Linked DNA regions of Anolis sagrei. The protein of the gene in region 2 purifies or fractionates together with the protein of the main gene of each other region. This does not show direct contact. Links are inferred from orthologs where the notes say so. Each region holds a gene or a part of one and is shown on either strand. Other genes may lie near its edges.

What was found. Proteins that work in one complex are often made in the same cells at the same time.
Region 1: the proteins of CSNK1D (region 2) and GAPVD1 purify together in Homo sapiens (affinity purification with mass spectrometry; 5 studies listed by BioGRID and IntAct, counting the BioPlex papers as one, with this or other methods). This does not show direct contact. The link is inferred for Anolis sagrei from reciprocal best matches to the Homo sapiens genes CSNK1D and GAPVD1.

What each region holds. Positions count from the first base shown.
Region 1 is NC_090031.1:6,428,690-6,440,290, reverse strand, and holds the start of GAPVD1 (GTPase-activating protein and VPS9 domain-containing protein 1), read right to left. Parts: upstream 5,495-11,601; 5' UTR 5,398-5,494; intron 1-5,397. UniProt on the Homo sapiens protein: Acts both as a GTPase-activating protein (GAP) and a guanine nucleotide exchange factor (GEF), and participates in various processes such as endocytosis, insulin receptor internalization or LC2A4/GLUT4 trafficking.
Region 2 is NC_090022.1:114,329,400-114,340,376, forward strand, and holds the start of CSNK1D (casein kinase I), read right to left. Parts: upstream 4,114-10,977; 5' UTR 3,874-4,113; coding exon 3,798-3,873; intron 1-3,797. UniProt on the Homo sapiens protein: Essential serine/threonine-protein kinase that regulates diverse cellular growth and survival processes including Wnt signaling, DNA repair and circadian rhythms. It can phosphorylate a large number of proteins.

The DNA of each region.
Region 1 (11,601 bases), on a different chromosome or scaffold from region 2:
ATGATGTACTGGGAAAACTGTTGTTGACCCATACTCTTTGTTTTTAAGAGACAGAGGCTTTTCTTCTCATGTAACCCACCTAGTTTCCATCCTAAGCTCTGCAAAAACGAGCTTCCCCCTCTCACTTCTCTGCATGCAATTCCTGGCTTAAATGTCAGGCTAATATATCCATTTTGACAGTTCTGCGTGAAAAAAGGATGTTTTCGCTGCAACACATCAAAAGGGATTTCTGTATTTAGAAATCAAAGTGGCAAAATGGGACAGCTCTGGTTTGTCAGACTCTCTCCCTTTGTCAATCCAATGGAAGCAAAATTGGCTGGTGGTTTATATAGACACAGTGAAGGCATTTGGGAGTTGTAGTTGCTGGGATTTATAGTACACCTACAATCAAAGTGCATTCTGAACTCCACCAATGATGGAATTGAACCAAACTTGGCACACAGTTCTCCCATGACCAACAGAAAATACTGGAAGGGTTTGGTGGGCAGTGTCCTTTGGTTTTGGAATTGTAGTTCACCTACTGTGGACTCAAACAATGATAGATCTGGACCAATCTCTACATGAATACTCAATATGCCCAAATGTGAACACTGGTAGAGTTTGGGGGAAATAAAATCTTGACATTTGGGAGTTGTAGTTGCTGGGATTTATAGTTCACCTACAATCACAGAGCATTCTGAACCCCATCAACAATAGAATTGGGCCAAACCTCCCACACAGAACCCCCATGTGGGCCACAGCAAAATCACTGGACGAATTGACACCAAATTTGGACACAATACATCTATCAGGCAAACGAAGCACAATGGAGGACCTTCTTGCAGCAACACCAGAAGCACTCCAAGGGGCCAGCTACTGGTCAAAGGACGTTTAATCAACTACCAAACTCACAAATTTTGTATGTTGTCTGTTTGTTTGCTTTGTTCTGTTAGTAATGTAATATAATTGACTGGTTGCCCTGACACGACAAATAAATAAAATAAATAAATAGGCAAACGAGTGACCATCACTCACAAACACACTGAAAAACACAGCAGAAGAAACTAACAAAGCCAAAAAACAAAAATTTCATTACAACGTATGCGCAAAACCACATATATATATGCAAACACACATATACACAATTATATTCACACACAAAACAGATATACACAGACTGGGCCACAGCAACGTGTGGCAGGGGACGGCTAGTCTATATAAATAAAAATGTAATGTTCATTTGTGGGATTAACAGAACTCAAAAACCATTGGACGAATTGACACTAAATTTGGACACAAGACACTTAACAACCCAATGTATGTCCTTCACTCAAAAAAAAAATGATTTTGTCATTTGGGAGTTGTAGTTGCTGGGATTTATAGTTCACCTACAATCAAAGAGCATTCTGAACTCCACCAATGATGGAACTGAACCAATCTTGGGACACAGAACTCCCATGACCAACAGAAAATACTAGAAGGGTTTGGTGAGCATTGACCTTGAGTCTGGGAGTTGTAGTTTACCTACATCCAGAGAGCACTGTGGACTCAAACAATGATGGATCTGGACCAAACTTGGCACGAATATTCCATTGGGTTGTTAGGTGTCTTGTGTCCAAATTTAGTGTCAATTCATCCAGTGGTTTTTGAGTTCTGTTAATCCCACAAACGAACATTACATTTTTATTTATATAGATATGTGTGTGTATGTTTTGGATAGCATAGGCTAGGGTTAACACTTCTGTGACATTTGTTTTGTTGCCTGTGCCTCTGTTCAGAAGATTTCACCTCACTTTGTGTCCCTGTGATAGTGTGGATTTTGAACATTTGCCTTGTTGTGGGAACACATTTTCCCCATGATAATAACTCTTCCAGGATATCTAATCCTTCCAAGGGGAAGATTTCCATCACTTCCTGTTCTTAACTTTGAGTCAGATGTCTGTAACTTGGCAAGTGCCCGTAAATGCCTGCAATACACTCACATTCATCCCTTGTTATCTTTTCCTCCTATACATTCCAGTGTTTGCTATCAGATCTTATAACATTGGAAAAAAAACAGTCTTCAGACAAGACATACAAAGTCAAAGATAAGGAGAAAGTAGTTCATGATTTTCCTGCAGAACAGCAAAACATTCTGACTTCCGATTTATGACTCTTAAAGAGGTCACACACAAAATAAACAGAAATGCCCTCCAATTTTTGTTATCTGGCTTGATCTAAAGGTAGGATGGCCCATTTCCTCATCTAAGGCCCTTGCAGTGTGACTTAGGCCCCTTCTATACTGCCATGTAAAATCCAGATTATCTGCTTTGAACTGGATTATATGGCTGTGTAGACTCATATAATCCAGTTCAGAGAACATCATGTGGATTATCTGTTTTGGCAGATAGAATCACACGACTGGAAGGGCCGCCCAGCTCATCCATTCTGCCAAACAGGAAGACACAATCCAAGCCCTCCCAACAGATGGCCATCCCCTCTCCTCCAGAGAAGAAGACTCCATCTTTCCTTCCACAAGAAACATCTCAAAGGCCCTATCTATACTACCATGTAATCCTGTTACTAAATCCAGATTACATGCTTTGAACTGGATTCTATGGCAGTCTCCAAAGCATATAATCAGGATTCAGACAATGGATGATAATACAGTGAAGACTCATATAACCCAATTCAAAGCAGATAATCAGGATTCAGATTCTGGATGATATGGCAGTTTAGACTCATAAATAATTATGAAATAGGAAGAATTAACACAGAATGGCTAGACAATGCTGCTGGATAATTATTTTAACAGGACGACACTGGTAATTATATGTTTTTAATGGTTTAATATGGTATTTATAATATTAGGTTGAATGGATGATATAGAAGTGTAGACTCATATAACCCAGCTGAAAGCACACAGTGTAGACTCAACCCAGTTCAAAACACATAGGATTCAAAAACTGGATGATATAGCAGTGTAGACTCATATAACCCAGTTCAAAGCACATAGGATTCAGAACCTGGATGATATAGCAGTGTAGACTCATATAACCCAGTTCAAAGCACATAGGATTCAGAAACTGGATGATATAGCAGTGTAGACTCATATAACCCAGCTCAAAGCACATAGGATTCAGAAACTGGATGATATAGCAGTGTGGACTCATATAACCCAGTTCAAAGCACACAGGATTCAGAAACTGGATAATATAGCTGTGTAGACTCATATAACCCAGCTCAAAGCACGTAGGATTCATAAACTGGATGATATAGCAGTGTAGACTCATATAACTCAGTTCAAAGCACATAGGATTCAGAAACTGGATGATATAGCAGTGTAGACTCATATAACCCAGCTCAAAACACATAGGATTCAGAAACTGGATGATATAGCACTGTAGACTCATATAACCCAGCTCAAAACACATAGGATTCAGAAACTTGATAATATAGCAGTGCAGACTCATATCACCCAATTCAAGACACACAAGATTCAGAAACTGCATTATATGGCAGTGTAGACTCATATAACCCAATTCAAAGCACACAGGATTCAGAAACTGGATGATACAGCACTGTAGACTCATATAACCCAGTTCAAGGCACATAGAATTCAGAAACTGGATGATATAGCACTGTAGACTCATATCACCCAATTCAAGACACACAAGATTCAGAAACTGCATTATATGGCAGTGTAGACTCATATAACCCAATTCAAAGCACACAGGATTCAGAAACTGGATGATATAGCACTGTAGACTCATATCACCCAGTTCAAGGCACATAGGATTCAGAAACTGCATTATATGGCAGTGTAGACTCATATAACCCAATTCAAAGCACACAGGATTCAGAAACTGGATGATATAGCACTGTAGACTCATATCACCCAATTCAAGACACACAAGATTCAGAAACTGCACTATATGGCAGTGTAGACTCATATAACCCAATTCAAAGCACACAGGATTCAGAAACTGGATGATATAGCACTGTAGACTCATATAACCCAGTTCAAGGCACATAGGATTCAGAAACTGCATTATATGGCAGCGTAGACTCATATAACCCAATTCAAAGCACACAGGATTCAGAAACTGGATGATATAGCACTGTAGACTCATATCACCCAGTTCAAGGCACATAGGATTCAGAAACTGCATTATATGGCAGCGTAGACTCATATAACCCAATTCAAAGCACACAGGATTCAGAAACTGGATGATATAGCACTGTAGACTCATATCACCCAGTTCAAGGCACATAGGATTCAGAAACTGCATTATATGGCAGTGTAGACTCATATAACCCAGCTCAAAGTACATAGGATTCAGATAAAGCAGTGTAGACTCATATAATCCAGTTCAAGGAACATAGGATTCAGAAACTGCATTATATGACAGTGTAGACTCATATAACCCAGCTCAAAGTACATAGGATTCAGATAAAGCAGTGTAGATTCATATAACCCAGTTCAAGGCACATAGGATTCAGAAACTGCATTATATGGCAGTGTAGACTCATATAACCCAGCTCAAAGTACATAGGATTCAGATAAAGCAGTGTAGATTCATATAACCCAGTTCAAGGCACATAGGATTCAGAAACTGCATTATATGGCAGTGTAGACTCATATAATTCAGTTCAAAGCACATACAATTCAGAAACTGGATGATATAGCACTGTAGACTCATATCACCCAGTTCAAGGCACATAGGATTCAGAAACTGCATTATATGGCAGTGTAGACTCATATAACCCAGCTCAAAGTACATAGGATTCAGATAAAGCAGTGTAGACTCATATAATCCAGTTCAAGGAACATAGGATTCAGAAACTGCATTATATGGCAGTGTAGACTCATATAACCCAGCTCAAAGTACATAGGATTCAGATAAAGCAGTGTAGATTCATATAACCCAGTTCAAGGCACATTGGATTCAGAAACTGCATTATATGGCAGTGTAGACTCATATAATTCAGTTCAAAGCACATACAATTCAGAAACTGGATGATATAGCAGTGTAGACTCATATAACCCAGCTCAAAATATCCAGGGGCCCTTCCACCCAGAATGTCAAGGCAGATAATCCTCAATATCTGCTTTGAACCGGGTTATCCGAGTCCACACTGCTATATAACGCAGTTCAACACTGATAATGTGGGATTTTATTCAGGTGTGTGGAAGGGGCACAGAAATAAGGGTCAAACGACAATTCCCAGGCTTCCCTTGCTTGTAGATCAGGCCTGGGCCAACTTGGGTCCTCCAGGTGTTTTGGACTACAACTCCCACAATTCCTAACAGCCGGTAGGCTGTTAGGAATTGTGGGAGTTGTAGTCCAAAACACCTGGAGGGCCCAAGTTGGCCCAGGCCTGGTATAAATACCCAACTAAAGGCCGAGGCCTAGCTGCCTCAGTGAAGGGACCCACCTGCGAGGCGAGGCCTCCGCTTCCGCCGCTTCTTCTCTTCTGGGCCTTGAGCCCCGCCCCTACCCTGGCCACGCCCCCTTACGCACTCCGCTGCGCATGCGTCGGGACGGCGGCCGAAGAGGGGGAAGAGGGCGGGGCTTGGCTTTCGCTGGTTCCAAGGAGGGAGAGGGAGAGGCGCATGCGCGGGACTTTGCAGCCAACCCAACGCGTTTCTGACAAGTTTGTCCTTCCAGAAGGTGGCCGTTGTTTAGAGATGGATGGGAGTTGGAGTCCAAAACAGCTGGAGGGCCCAAGTTGGCCCAGGCCTGATCTAGATAAATAGAAGATAAATGGATAGATAGATAGATGAATGGAGTGGGTGGAAGATAGATAGATAGATAGATAGATAGATAGGTAGGTAGGTAGATAGATAGATAGATAGATGGATGGATAAATAATAATAATTTATTTATTTCTATTTATATAAATAGATGGATGGATGGGTCATAATAATAAGACTTGATAGATAGATGGATGAATAATAATAATAATAATAATAATAATTTATTTAAATGTATATAGATGGGTAATAATACTTTATAGATGGATGGATGAGTAATATTTATTTATTCATTCATATTTATATAAATGGATGGATGGGTCATAATAATAAGACTTGATAGATGGATGGATGGAAGATAGATGGATGAAGTGATGGATGGATGGAAGGAAGATTCATAATAATAATAATAATATATTTAAATTATAGGTGGATCGGTAATAATAATAAGATTTTATAGATTGATGGGTGGAAGATAGATGGTTGGATGAATAATAATTATTTATATTTATATACATAGATCAATGGATAGATGGATGGATGGGTCATAAGACTTGATAGATAGATGGTTGGATGGAAGATAGATGGATGGATTGTTCGATGGATAGATGGATGAATTGATGAATGGATGGAGGATGAATGCTAATAATAATTTATTTGAATTTGTATAGATGGACGGTAATAATAATAAGACTTTATAGATGGATAGATGGATAAATAATTATTATTTAGTTATATTTATATAAATAGATGGATGGATAAATGGATGGATGGGTCATGGATAGATAGATAGATAGATGAATTGATTGATGGATGGAAGATGGATTAATAAAAATAATAATTTCTTTAAATTATAGATGGAACAGTAATAATAAGACTTTATAGATGGATGGATGGATAATAATTATTTCTATACAAATAGATGGATGGATAGATGGGTCATAATAATAAGATAAATAGCTGGATGGAAGATGGATTGTTAGATTAATTGATGGATGGATCGATGAATAATATAGATGGATCGGTAATAATAATAAGACTTTATACATGGATGGAAGACAGATGGATGGATGAATAATAATTATTTATTTATATTTATATAAATAGATGGATGGATAAATGGGTCATAATAATATGACTTGATCGATGGATGGATGGATGGATGGAAGATGGATGGATGGTTAGATGGATGAATAATAATAACTTATTTAAATTTATATAGATGGATCTGTAATAATAATAAGACGTCATTTATAGATAGATGGATGGAAGAAGAAGAACTTTATTTTTCTACCCCGCCTCCATCTCCCCAAAGGGACCCGGGGCAACTAACCCTAACATACAATTAAAACAAGGCAAATAAAAAATTAAAACAATGTATAACTGACATTAAAAAAACAAGACATCATAAGCAACAACCAGAAATACTCTCAAGTCTCATTTTGGGGAGGACTGGTGTACAGACATGTTAGAGGATAGGCTGGCCAAAGGTAGATAGAACATATCGCAGCAAAGGAATAGAGTAATTATAATAGGATTATTTTAATTTAAGGTGCAGTAATGAAATACAGGAACTTGATTCAAGGCCATGGTTAAGGACCATGTTTGATGGATGGATGGATGGATGGATAGGTGGATAGATGGATGGAAGATAGAAGGGGGGTGGATAGATACATGAATGGAAGATAGATAGGTGGATGAGTGATAATAATTTATTTATATAGATGGAAGGATAACAATAATAAGACTTTAACCCCAGGACTGTAATTCTCAAAACCTTTAATGACTGCTAAATCAATTTATCTCATGGGCATCTATTTCCAAAAGTTGGGAGTGATTATTTCAACTTCTTGTGTTAGGACTTCTTGTTCTAGTTCATATTTCTGTAGCTTCATCCCACTTCATATATGTTTTCCTGATTAAATCTTAATAAATCAAAGGATTTTATGCTCAGTTAACTCTAGAACGGTGAGGTCCTTTGCCTGCGTTAATATCAGGAAGCTTGAGGAAAGGATATGGTGCAATACTGAGAAAGACAAATGGTGACTCACAAAGCCAAGATGATTGTCAACTGAATTTCTGGAGGAAAAGAAGTACAAGCAGTTGATAGAATGGTTTTATATATATATATACACACACACGTATATGCACACATATACACATATGCATAATAAATGTAATACAATATGATATATCAATATCTATCTATATATATATGTATACAGGGTGAGGCAGTATAACTTCATTTTTTAAAATGCGCGCCATTCAGTCAGTTGAAGACGTAGCGGAGCGCTAGTAGTCTTGTTCGAGAGGCGGGAGTATAAAGTTTTGTCCTGACACAGTTCATTCGCCATCATGCGTTGGAACAGTGAGGAGCGTGCTTTTGCCGTTGAGGCCTACTTTTCGAGCAGATTTGGAGTGGCCGGCCCGCTCTCCAGATTTGGCCCCTTGTGATTTTTTTCTATGGGTTTTTTTGAAATCCTGTGTTTATGTGAACCGTCCAAGGACCCTACAAGATTTGAAGACCAACATCCAGGAAGAAATTGCCAACACAACTCCTGCTATGATTGAGAGTCATGACAAACGCCAGAAATCAGGTTACTTAGTGTATGGAGAATGGGGGACGTCACCTACCTAATTTGATCTTCAAAACTACGTAAAACAAAACTTTTGGTATGTGCCTACATTATAAAAAAAATCAGATTCATACAATGGGTTTTATTAAGTTTTGAAAAAAGGAAGTTATGCTGCCTCACCCTGTATATCGGTATTAATATATATTATACATGTATAGCTAATATATAATAAACCACAATATATACACTCCATATGTGTATATGCGTGTGTCTATATAAACACATATAAAATGTCATATATAATATATATAATACAAAAATATATAATGTACATACATGTATATATAACAAACCACTATATATACATTATACACACATATATACACAAACTCTATATATGGGTTTATCATGAAAATTTAAATATATTATGGTTTAATATAGGGAAATAGTTGTATTTGTATATATTGATACATAGATGTATAGCGTAATATATATGCATGCACTTATATATATACATATAAGTTTAACAGTATATACTTTCATCACACATGATATATAAATACCGATAATGGTATGTGTGTGTGTGTGTAGATATATATATATATATATATATATATATTAGCTTATTATATGAAAAGTTAAATGTATGTAATGGTTTTGTTATAAGGTTTATTTGTATAACACAACACAGATACATATATGTAGTGTTAAAGTTGTATCTCTGTGTTGTTTTGTATAACATGAAACATTATTATTAATATATATAATGGTTTATTATATGAAAAGTTACACGTGTATATATATGTGTGTGTGTGTGTATTTATATATGTGTATATATTTTGTGTGTGTGTGTGTGTGTGTGTGTATATATATATATATATATCCAGGTTTCATGGGGCCATCAGGTCCCATGCGTGTTATGAAAGTCTTTTGCGAAGATGAGTGACCCATTAAGGTGGGTCGGGCACTCACAATGCCCATGTCCATTGTGTTCTACACATATCATTGTCCAAAGTGATGGAATTAGTAAATCCAATCATGGGAAGTCAAAACTTTATTATAAAGTAGTACATCCAATTGCAGCTTTGCTTACTTAGGCTATTCCTCGTTGTCCAAGTAGGATAGTCTTCCAGAATCAGTGTACTTACTTTACTTATTTACTTACTTACTTATTTAGGCGATCCCTCATAGTCCGAGGATGATGGTCCTTCAAGTTCGTTGTCCTGGCGGTGGGTCCGTAGGTGGCTGTGGAGCCCTATTCTTGATCTGCATCTTCTTCCGCAGAGAGGGCATTGGTTTCCAGGTGGTCTCTGTCGGGGTTGGCCTGACGCGTCTTCCTCTTGGCACGTTTCTCTCTTTCGCCCTCTATTCGTGCTTCTTCAAATTCTGCAGCACTTCTGGCCGCAGCTGACCTCCAGTCGGAGCACTCAAGGGCCAGGGCTTCCCAGTTCTCAGTGTCTATTCCACAGTTTTTGAGGTTGGCTTTGAGCCCGTCTTTAAATCTCTTTTCCTGTCCACCAACATTCCGTTTTCCATTCTTGAGTTCGGAGTAGAGCAACCGCTTTGGGAGACAGTGGTCGGGCATTCAGACAAGGGGGCCAGTCCAGCTGAGTTGATGGCGGAGGACCATCGCTTCAATGCTGGTGGTCTTTGCATCTTCCAGCACGCTGACATTGTCCGCTTGTCTACCCAAGAGATTTGCAGGATTTTCCAGAGGCAGCGCTGATGGAATTGTTCCAGGAGCTGAGTGTGACATCTGTAGACAGTCCACGTTTCGCAGGCATATAACAGGGTTTGGAGGACAATAGCTTTATAGACAAGCACCTTGGTCTCTGTATGGATGTCCCAGACCTGAAACACTCTCTGCTTCATTTGGAAAAATGCTGCCCTTGCAGAGCTCAGGCGGTGTTGTATTTCTGTGTCAATGTTGACTTGGATGGAGAGGTGGCTGCCAAGGGAGTGCAAATAATAATAATAATAATAATAAACTTTATTTATACGCCGCCACCATCTCCCCCAACGGGGACTTGGGGCGGCTTACATGAGGCCAGAACTTCCTGACTGTGAGAGCCGTTCAGCAGTGGAACTCTCTGCCCCAGAGTGTGGTGGAGGCTCCTTCTTTGGAAGCTTTTAAACAGAGGCTGGATGGCCATCTGTCAGGGGTGATTTGAATGCAACATTCCTGCTTCTTGGCAGGGGGTTGGACTGGATGGCCCATGAGGTCTCTTCCAACTCTTTGATTCTATGATTCTAGGCGCAAATAGTCCTATATGCAATTTTATCTGTATGGTCTCAAAATGTATAAGGAAATCACTTTCTCAGGCTTCAAAAAGCCTTGGCGCCTGGCTAGGCCTGGTAACCATGGCAACTTCCAGAAGGATTCATCCTAAGCCTTTTCAACGCCGTGTCACCTCCCAGCCAATGGGCTCTTTCCGCTTGGCCACAGCGCGGGCTGTGATTGGTCCGCGGGGCCGGTTGGGTGGACCAATCAGTAGCGCGGAGGTTAAGCGGAAAGAAGGTAAGGCAAAGAAGAAAAGGGGAGAAAGGCCCGACGGCGAAGCACGCGACGGGTGCGTGACGTCACTACGCAAGCGGACCAATCGGGGCCGGCCAGCTAGGAAGGAAGCAACCAATCGGGAAGCTCCAGCGAGGAAAAACCGACCAACCACAGCCATCCACGCAAGGGAGCGGGCGACTATATAAGGCCGCACGAGCGGCTGGGCCTAGACACTCTTGAGAAGCCTGAGAGGAAGGAATTTAGTTTGTCGCGTGTTAGAAACGTCGTTACCAGTGTGGACGGCTGTAGCTGATTAATAGAGGTGAGCCTCTTAACGAACCACGCCTTGTTACTAATTGTGGTAAACTATTAAATGCTATTATTCCTATATATATCCATTTATGTATATATGTAACTTGCTAGTTGTAGTTTAAGCCTGGAGTCTTAACATGAATGAATTATCTCTCTGTATATGTTTATATATATCTATATGTGTGTATATATAGACATATATATAGTGTATATATGCTATTATGTATTCATAGCTGTTGCAAATAGTTGTATGTGTGTATTAGTAATCTATAAGCCTATCCAACGTTAATTAATTATGTATCTATATATATATTGGCATACGAATAGGAATATGAGTTAACCCTATCATAGAGTATGAGCTAAGCCTATCATCTCAACTCCTATGTGAATCTATATATATTTCTATAGGAATAGTGTATAACCTTGTAAGCCTATCATCTCAACACTAATAAACTGTGAATTCCTATATATTTCTATAGGAATAGTATATAATCTATAAG
Region 2 (10,977 bases):
TATTTTGAGGCATTGAATGTTTGCCCTTTTATGTGTCAACTGCCCTGAGTACTTCTGGGGAGAGAGAGCGATCTAGAAATAAAGTTGTTACTACTACTACTACTACGTTATTATTTAATACTTACTGTAGACTGGTGCAAAAATATTAATTTCATCAAGCAAAACTGCAGGATGTAGTAATGTCTTCTTTATGCAGTGCATAAGGAGGATTCATCTCCAATCATACATATTTTGCTACAGACTCCTGAGTAAGGAAGTCCTTCTTAGGTAAGCATATTTTCTGCCAACAAATTCTTAGTGACTGGGCAGCATCTCACAGATCCTCAGAAAATAAAACCTGGCTATAGTTCAGGTTCAGGGAAACACTGAAGTAGCCTGGTAATTGGTACCAGAGATGTGCAAGACTGAATTTTTCATTTCTAAATGAATTTGTTGGCTACGTAATAAACAATGCTAGTCTATCACAGCTTCCAGTACAGTAGTAGCAAAATCAAAATACCTTAGTAAAATATGGTAAAAAAATACTTATAGATGAAACCACTGCAGAAAGAGTTCTCACAATTACAAATCAAAAATGAGATTCCTATGAAGTGAAATTAAGACAGTAATCAAGGTTGTAGAAAATATCTTGAATGAACAAAGCTGAAGTGATCTGTTAGATTTCAGATACAGATCCACAGTTAAAGTGATAGTGACTTTAGGTCTTCTAATCAGACATTTACTTGTTGTAAATATCAGAAACTCTACAATCTTCTTCTTTTGATAAAAGTATTTTGCAATGGATTTTCTGGGTGACTTCCATCTAATCTGAAATCTAATAATCCCACTGGATATAACCGAAGAAAGAGTAACTAAGTAAAATTGCTATTTTCTGAAGTGACTGTAATAGCCAGATTTTTAAAACGTCTATATGTCAATAGCCGATATGACCGAACAATTCTATTTATAGCAACTGCCTCGAAGACAATGGCTGGAAAGCCAAGCAACTCATTTTTTATAATGCTCAAATGAGAAGAAAAAACTTTATTATAGGAATTTAATATTTATTTTATATACTAGGTGGAAGTTTTTTTAAAAAAAACCCAGAAGCAAACTTTTTCAAAACCAAAAGTTTTGCATTGCAGGAATTCCATCTTCTTATTTCAAACTACCTACAGAAACTCTTATTTGAAATGAATCCCTATATACAATATCAACTAATTAATAACCTGTGATTCTTGCCTCATAAATAGGAGTAATACCTTTTACTGTTAATAATAATGCAAACTTCTCAAAGAAGCAGGAAATGACACCACATGAGTAAGGGATCTTAATGTCTTAATTTCAGTAAATGGAAATATCTCCTAAATTCAACTTAATTCTAAAATGCGGACATGAGGAAGAAAGGATGGCGAAAGTTACAACACTCAGAAAGTTTAAGAAAATATCTGACTGGAAATGTTTTTAGTATACAAGGATATTCTTCCCTGGGCAGCTACCAAAACAAGACTATGCCAAAGGATCTGACAATTTCGTGTGTCAAGGTTCTGAAGTCTTCTCTGTATTACAAGGGAATCAAAGTTCTAGGATTAAGAATTTGGGAAAGTGTCATCATCCTTCTCTTCCCCCATCAGGTGGGACAACAGTGGTGAATAATTTAAATATCTTCACTGTCCTGTTTTACACTATCCTTTGAACCTTCCTAAGTATCAGAGCGAAAAGAAACTCAAGCCTGGTAAATAAAACAAAGGCAAGAGTAATAGATGTGATGGTTAAGAAATATACATAACCTAAGATCCATTTTTAGTGTGAATCATAATCATAAAGGTATCTATGCCCTTTCTTGCACATCTTTCTCAAAAATTTAAAAAATCTAATGGGTCGCTGCCACAAGCAGATATAACATTTTATTAGGGACAAGATTAATAAAAGCCTTCTCTGACTTTTAACAAAGTTTTTCCAACCTGCACAACACTTTTAATTAAAGGGGAAGCTGCAACCAAATGATAATCTTTTGTCCTGATGGGTTCACACCCTTGTATGTATAATTTTGTGTAGTATGCAAGCAAAAGAAATCCCTTAAAGTTTATTATTTACAAGGAGGAAGCAAAGACAACATCCAAGAAGGATTTCAGAAGACTGCACTTCCAAAGTTTTCTGAATAAAGATCTGATCAAAGACATAAAGCATTTATTTCAACAGAAATGTTGACATTTCACACCCTTTCCTAAAAGATAGGTAAGAACAAAACACTATAAGATATTTAATGTTATTCTGTCAGAAAAGCACTAGATCAGGCAAGGAAGCACTAGATCAGGTAAGGAAGTAACCTTTTGTATACAAAGAAATAGCAGCCTTGGCAATATGGATTTGCTGCTTTCGATATTCACATTTATTTTTAAACATAGGAGCTCAGACTTGGATTGGCTGTTCCCTTTGTACAACAATACGCAAAGTCAGCAATCCCATTAAAGCTACTCAAATGTATACTGCAATGCATAGGCCTAATCCTTCGTGGGACTGAACCTTGAACTAATTGACAGACCATCAGATTTTTTTTCCTGGCTTACCTTTGCATAGAGCCTACCACTTTGAAAGGAGACACCTAGGCTAGCTTACCATATGCAGAATGCAAGCGAAAACCCACATCCCTGGGGGTTTATTAAAGATTCATCACCAAAGAAGTAAGTCAGCAGGCCTCTGGCTTAGATTCACAATTATGCTGTCATCAAAACTAGGGGACTGGGTTGCAAATAACCAGAATTTTACACCTCAGAAAGGAACAAAATGCTCCTTCCACACAGCTGAATAAATAAATCCCTCATTTTCTGCTTTGAACTGGAATATATGGCTGTGTGGACTCAAGGCCCTTCCACACAGTCCTATATCTCAGAATATTAATGCAGAAAATCCCACAATTCTGCTTTGAACTGGGTTATCTGAGTCTACACTCTGATAATGTGGGTTTTTCTGCCTTGATATTCTGGGATATAAGGCTGTGTGGAAGGGCCCTCAGATAACCCAGATATTATGGAATTACCTGCCTTGATATTCTGAGTTATATGGATGTGGAAGGGCCCACCATCCCATTTACCGGAAGTCCAGGTTAAAAACCAAAAAGGCAGAAAGCACCCCAAGCCACAAAATGAGCGATTTTGCAATCACAAAACACAGCATTGGGCAATTTTTTTTGTAAAAGCGAGCTACTTCCTGGAGGCTTTTACAGCCCCGGTTGAAGCAATAGTCAAGGCCTGCGGTCCTGGCCAAGACCAGGCTTTGAAGTCAAAACTCTTGGGTCCAGTCCATGCTTTGGAAGGAGGACGGGCTTGATTTTTCCTGCTCCAGCCAAGGGAGGCCGGCTGAGAAGAGGGCGGCCGGCGGCCCAAGGTCACCAAGGAAGTTTCTCTTGAAGGAGGAAGCGGGGAGGGCGAGGGGCTCTGCCCTGAGGAAGTCTCGGGAAAGGGTGAGGCCTACACGGAAGACTGGTGGCCGGCACCACTGACTGCAAAGGGGAGCAGCTACGGAATCCAGGGAGGGGCCGTTTGAGGAGGCCCCAGGGCTACTGAGCAGAGGAAGCGTAAGGCCTTGGAAAACTACCGCTCCCAGGATTCCACAGCACTGAGACATGGCAGCTGAAGTGCTGTCAACCTGCATTTATTCGACAATGTAGGCGCACCCTCCGTAAACAAGGCCTGAGAAGCCCGAGGTGAGGCGACAGGCAGCCCTTGCCGGGTTGCGGCGGTTCTTTGAGGCCGAGCAGGCCCCGCCGGACCCCGGCCAGCCCTCCCCTCCACCGCCCGCTTCCTCCTCTTCCTCACCGAGGTAAATATCCCCGAAAGAACCGCTCCCGATCTTCCGGCCGAGCCGGTACCGGTTCCCGACTCTCAACTCCATCGGCGCGGCTCGAGTGGACCCAACCCAGCGGCGAGGACGGAGCCCGGCTCAGAGCGAGGCCAGGACGGCGAGCATGGCGGCCCGGGGCCCGTCTCCCGGCGGCGGAGGGGTCTGGGGGCGGCCGCGCGCCCCGGCTGGGGAGGATGGAGGCCGATTCCCCGAGACCCGGATCCCCCCTCCCGCTCAACGCAGCTGGGGCCGAGCCGCCGCCATGTTGTGTGACCTCACTTCCTTGACAACTGAGGGCGGGGCCTGCGCCTCCCCGGGAGGGAAGGCGGCTCGAGGGGCGGGAACGGGGCGGGGCTTGCAGATTGTGAGGCCGGGAGCCGGAGCCAGGGCCGTCGCCCAGGCAACCGCCGAGGCCGCGGCGAGCCCCTGCTATAGCCCTCGCCGAAAAGGGCGCCCGCCACACTCAAGAATTAATGCAGTTTGGCACCGCTTTAACCCCCATGGCTCAGTTCTAGGGAATCTTGGGAGCTGTCGTTTGGTGAGGCGCCAGCACTATTGGGCAGAGGAGGCGAATGACATTGTAAAATTAAGGCACATGCCTCACTATGAAGGTATCACAATCTCTTCAGTGGATAGATCAAAGCTAGGATAATAATATTGAGGATAGTTATGATGGTGTGGTGAATGAATTAGAACCAGACATCCTGAGGAGTGAGGTTGAATGGGCCTTAAGAAGCATTGCTAACAACAAGGCAGCAGGAGACGACGGGATCCCAGCTGAACTGTTTAAAATCTTAAAAGATGATGCTGTCAAGGTGATGCATGCCATTTGCCAGCAAATATGGAAAACACAAGAATGGCCATCAGACTGGAAAAAATCAACTTATATCCCCATACCAAAAAAGGGAAATGCGAAGGACTGCTCCAACTTCCGTACAGTGGCCCTTATTTCTCATGCCAGTAAGGTAATGCTCAAGATCCTGCAAGGAAGACTCCAGCAATACATGGAGCGAGAGTTGCCAGATGTTCAAGCTGGGTTTAGAAAAGGCAGAGGAACGAGAGACCACATTGCCAATATCCGCTGGATAATGGAGAAAGGCAGGGAGTTTCAGAAAAACATCTACTTCTGCTTCATTGACTATTCTAAAGCCTTTGACTGTGTGGATCATAATAAATTGTGGCAAGTTCTTGGTGGTATGGGGATACCAAGTCACCTTGTCTCTCTCCTGAGGAATCTGTACAAGGACCAAGTAGCAACAGTCAGAACTGACCACGGAACAACAGACTGGTTCAAGATTGGGAAAGGCGTACGGCAAGGCTGCATCCTCTCACCCAACCTTTTTAACTTGTATGCAGAACACATCATGCGATGTGCGGGGCTGGATGAATGCAAAGCTGGGGTGAAAATTGCTGGAAGAAACATTAACAACCTCAGATATGCAGATGACACCACCCTGATGGCCGAAAGCGAGGAGGAGCTGAGGAGCCTTCTAATCAAGGTGAAAGAAGAAAGTGCAAAAGCTGGGTTGCAGCTAAACGTCAAAAAAACCAAGATTATGGCAACAAGAATGATTGACAACTGGAAAATAGAGGGAGAAACCGTGGAGGCTGTGACAGACTTTGTATTTCTAGGTGCAAAGATTACTGCAGATGCAGACTGTGGCCAGGAAATCAGAAGACGCTTACTTCTTGGGAGGAGAGCAATGTCCAGTCTCGATAAAATAGTGAAGAGTAGAGACATCAGACTGGCAACAAAGATCCGCCTAGTCGAAGCCATGGTATTCCCTGTAGTCACCTACGGATGTGAGAGCTGGACCTTAGGGAAGGCTGAGCGAAGGAAGATCGATGCTTTTGAGCTGTGGTGTTGGAGGAAAGTGCTGAGAGTGCCTTGGACTGCGAGAAGATCCAACCAGTCCATCCTCCAGGAAATAAAGCCTGACTGCTCACTGGAGGGAAAGATACTAGAGACAAAGTTGAAGTACTTTGGCCACATCATGAGGAGACAGGAAAGCCTAGAGAAGACAATTATGCTGGGGAAAGTGGAAGGCAAAAGGAAGAGGGGCCGACCAAGGGCAAGATGGATGGATGGCATCCTTGAAGTGACTGGACTGACCTTGAGGGAGCTGGGGGTGGTAACGGCCGACAGGGAGCTCTGGCGTGGGCTGGTCCATGAGGTCACGAAGAGTCGGAGACGACTGAACGAATGAACAACAACAAGGCATGTAATCATTTCAAGCTGATGACTATCCCTCCCCTGAAGAAAAATAGCCTAAGCCAGGCCCGTAGCCAGGATTTCGTTTCGGGGGGGGGGGGGGGGGGGGGAGGGGCTGATTTTTTTTCAGGGGGGGTTTCGGGGGGGGGCTGAGTTTCGGGGGGGGGCTGAGTCTGAGTGAAAGAGGGTCTAGCCTAGCAAACTTTTGTATCATTACCCCAATACCCCCATGCATATGGGATATATTGAGTATGGTGATCAGATCATGATATGAATAAACATAACAGTTTAAATAATGCACCAATAAGGCCTTTTCGCGAACCACCATGAAAATTTCGGGGGGAAGGGCTGAAGCCCCCGAGCCCCCCCCCCCCCCCGGCTACATGCCTGGCCTAAGCAATACAGTGCATTGGCGAGGTGAAGGCCTCTAAGCCTGTGCTGCATTGAAACTCCCAGCACCTTAAAGAAACAGCAATGTCCAGAGCTCTGTGAAACATTTATTTCTTTACTTCATTTCCATCCCGCTCTTCTCACCCCTCAGGGGACTCAGTGTAACAGTTTCAGCTCCCTCTGTCAGCTCCAGAGCTCCATGCAGGGACATGAGAGAAGCCTCCTATAAGCAGGGTATAATATTAAACATCTGGGCGTCCCCTGGGCAACGTCCTTGCAGATGGCCAGTTCTCTCATACCAAAAGCGACTTGCATTTTTTTCAAGTCGCTTCTGACACAGGCAAAAGCCACCAGGGTGTGCTAGAGAGAGAGAGGATAGTCCATGTTGGGGGTGGGGGGTTTGAAAGAGGAAAGCCATTTCCTTAGTTTTTGTTGATTATTCCCCCTTCCCATTTCATAACAGGAAACGGGGGGGGGGGGGGGGGGGGGGATGGTTTTACTGCTTCAGCTAGCGCCCCCTGGCGGCCTACACCCGGCTAATGGAACAGCACCTAGTCAAGGTACCTTACTCTAACATGACCTACTTCGTCATTATATTAAACAAGATTAAGGCCCATCTCTCAAGGGAACATTTGCAGTAAACCCTCTATGAAACATGGCTGGACTAGGTGGCCATTGCCGTCCCTTCAAACTTAGGATTCTGTTGTTCACAGCTTGAATGAAAGAAAGATGAGCTTCAACTTAATTGTTGAATTTCTTTTAGAATAATTAGAAATGAAAAACCCACATGTAGAACACTAGGCGTCTCTATTTCCCCTCATCAAGGGCTGACAGTCTTTTTAATTTTTTTGTAACTGAAAAAATATAACTTAAAGAAAATTAAGTAGAACAAAATAAAATATCCATACTCTCAGCAATCCATAACAAAACATATAATAAAAGTAAATATACCCTATTACTTTTGTAGCCCTAAAATTAAGGCTTCTTCTAACACTATAGAGACACTATAATCTATATATATGACCTATAGATTTTTTTATCAAGCACTTTACAAGACTGAAACTGACTACAGTTGTTTTTACCTGCAGCTATCACTGTATTTTGGTTTTAACCAGGGGGTATTGTGAAGTTATGATGTTTATGTTGGTTGTTCACTTATGGTTGTTTACACTTTCTGTATTTTGTGTGGTTGCACCTTTGAGTGCTTTGTGAGCCACCTAGATTCCCTCTGAGAGATGGTGGCTGTGTACAAAGAAAGTTGTTAATCATCATCATCATCATCCTGTTTGGAGGTGGATTTAAATGGACCTCTTTCACTGTGCATTCTTGCTTACACAAACACCCCAGGAATGGTTCAATGAGGTGGCCACAGCATCCGCTTTTTGCAGTTTGCAATTGAACCCAAGAATGTTTTCTTTCTTACCCAGTTCACTGAGATGCATCACCATGTCCTTTCGGGATCACTGCTAGACAGAGGCAGGAAACAGGAAATCGGAACAGAGGTGTGGGAAGTGAATTTTCCCATGGGAATGATGTCTTTTCTTATTTACCTTCCAGCTATTTCTGCATTTTTAAAGCACGTCATCACCAGGTGTCCTAGCAAGCATTCTTCATTTTCCAGTCCCAGATTGGAGGTCTGCATGGAATATACTCTGATTGGCTGCAGTGGATTTTTGGCTTGTTTTGAACTTTCTGGTGTTTTTGAACACACTGTTTCTGGCTTAATGTATACTGCATTTGAATACACTGTTTCTGGCTTAATGCATACTGGGGATGTATGCTTTGTGGACACCATGACCTTGAGCTAGCTTCAAGCTGCATTATATGGTTTGTGAAGATTCAGACTAAGAGGTCTTTCCAAAGACCAACATGAGAGCTAGCAAGATCTTAGGTAAATTTCTCCTTTTCCCCCATTTTTCTAAAATGCAAAATTTAACCGAAGAAACACAAATAAAAGTAACAATGTTTATATATATTTTAAAACGTAAAGAACAATTAAATACCAGCTACACAATTTTCACACTGACATACATCTACTCTAATTACATGTAATTAAAGCACCAACAAATCTTTTTTCTTCTATTCTAAGGTTCACTTTCCCATATATAAATATCTCTAAAAACAGGTGTGTTAGAACTGTGGGTGTGTGTTTTACAATCAATGGAATCTTCAAAAGAATATACATGAATTAGTTTTTTAAAAGGATTTCCTGCTTCCCCTTTACCAGTTTCCCTATAATTTAACTTTTTCTTCTTCTACCTTATATCCAGCAGGTTGCTGACTATCTCAAAAACTGTCTTTCAATTTCCCTCATATATATTAATACAAAACATTCCCTCAGATACATATTAATAGAAACATTTTTCTAAGAATGTGTCCAGTGATTTCCCCTTCAACAAAATGGTTAACTTATCAATTTCTATTCCCAAATTTTCACTGTCCAATCTGTTTCTTTCTTTTTCCATTGTTGATGATGTAGGATTTGTTACTGTTAACGTGTACTGCACTATTTTCTAACATTCCTTTTTTATTTGATTATCCAACAGTCCTAGAATGAATTCTGGTTTGAAGCTGATTCCAGTTTTCACTGTGATCAGCTGAGAGGTGTGAATAGATGCTAAACCAACCAGATAGACAGGTGCTTTAGGCTAGATTTCAGAGTAAAAAACTTGCAAAACCACTTCTCAGTATTCGTTGTGTAGTAAAACCCTATGAAATGAGGTTGCCATGTTTTCAAGTGACTTCCAAGTTTGCCCACATACACACATTCTAAATGGGAACTCTACAAGTCAATACTTACAGAAGTTTCACTGATAAAATAAGCGTATTCTAAAATTGCATTTGACAAGTATGAACATCTTTTAAAAAGCCATCATTTCATATTGCTTTCTGGTAATATTAGGGGTTTATATCCTATTCAATTGTTACTTATACCGTACATATTTTTCTTGCTCAAAGGTACAGTGGTCCTCAAAATCCTTTTCGGTTTCTCCTTACCCAGCGGTAAAAGGACAAAAATGTAACATTTCATGTACTATGTTAGAAAAATAGTAACAATTTGTTCTAAAATCTTGCTGCAAGTCTCAAATACAGTAAACCTAGTTCATTTTTACTTAATGGTTAGTTAAACCACAAATAAATCCAACTGATTTAGTGGACTACTCTACTTAGGGTAAGACGTTTAAAACTGGTCACAATTTTCAAATGCCTAAAAATGATTGGTGTGGAAAACTAGAAATACTTCATATAAACTACTCAAGGTATTATAAAATACAAGGAAAAATATTGTAATTTACATTTAGGAAATTTGTTCTTTGAAATAATTTGATTTAAACTAAAGTCTAGCACATGGGATGGTGTCAAGCAGTTGTGTATGTGAATGTTTGTGGATATTTTCTGAAATATTTGTGATTCAATTCAGTTGATTCAGAACAATGGCCAAATGGTAGGAATACTTATTTCTCAAAGAACCATTAAGGAAAAAAAATCAAGCAAATCATTTCCTTATGACGATATACCAGTATGACACTCCTGCTATTGAGTATTTGAAGTTAGCTTGAAAATTTACTCATGTAAATTTTAATGAACACTCAATTTAAACTATTACCACAGATTGAAAGAATTATCAGTATAAAGAACTCATTTAACTGACAAAACAGGTCTGGACTAGAATTGATCTCCATAATAAGCTATTTTCTTTCTCCCATCTGCCTTTAGAGGTCCATCTTTTCCTAAAGTTTTAGTGCGGATCTTCCAAATTTTATATGGAGTTGTGTGAGATTTCCTTGCACATGTGGTCAGCTTCTAGGAAAAGTAGTCATTTAAATGGAATGTACTGGAATAGGGCTCCACAGTCAACTACGGACCCACCACCAGAACACCAAACTTGGAGGACCATCATCCTCGGACTACGAGGGATCGCCTAAGTAAGTAAGTACTGGAAAATACTGGAGACCAGTCGGTGGAAGTTATTTAAAAAACTATGTATTTATACTGAAGTACATACATAGAAAAAAAATAACAAAGAAATGAACAAACGTCAATCTGCATTCTTAAAACTGGAGATTATAACATCTGCAAAGAGAAAAGTACAATAAAGGAATCAATATTAATATTCATAATAATAAAAGTAATCACAATTATTGTATTTCTTACTCCCTCTCCCCATTGCTCGAGGAGGGTTACAGAATAATTAAAACACATAAACATTGTAAAAATACCACAAATACACATATTAAAATGTATTTATAAAAATACATATTAAAATACACAAAACAGAGATTAAACATAGGACATGAGTGTAAAACTTATGCTTAAAAACTGGTTGGGTTTTGCTTTATAAAATACGGCATCATATTTTTTGTTGCTTAGCTTTATGATCAACAGAGTTAAAATACAAAGTGTAATAGTACAGGACTGAATGCTGTTTGAAACAATGCCCATTGGATTCATATTTACACCTTGTGTTCTGGAATGGGTGTTCCAGGGGCTCCAAATTTGTGTTTTGCACTGAGTGTTTGTTTATAGTCCTAAGTTGCAGGGACTTTGCAGAT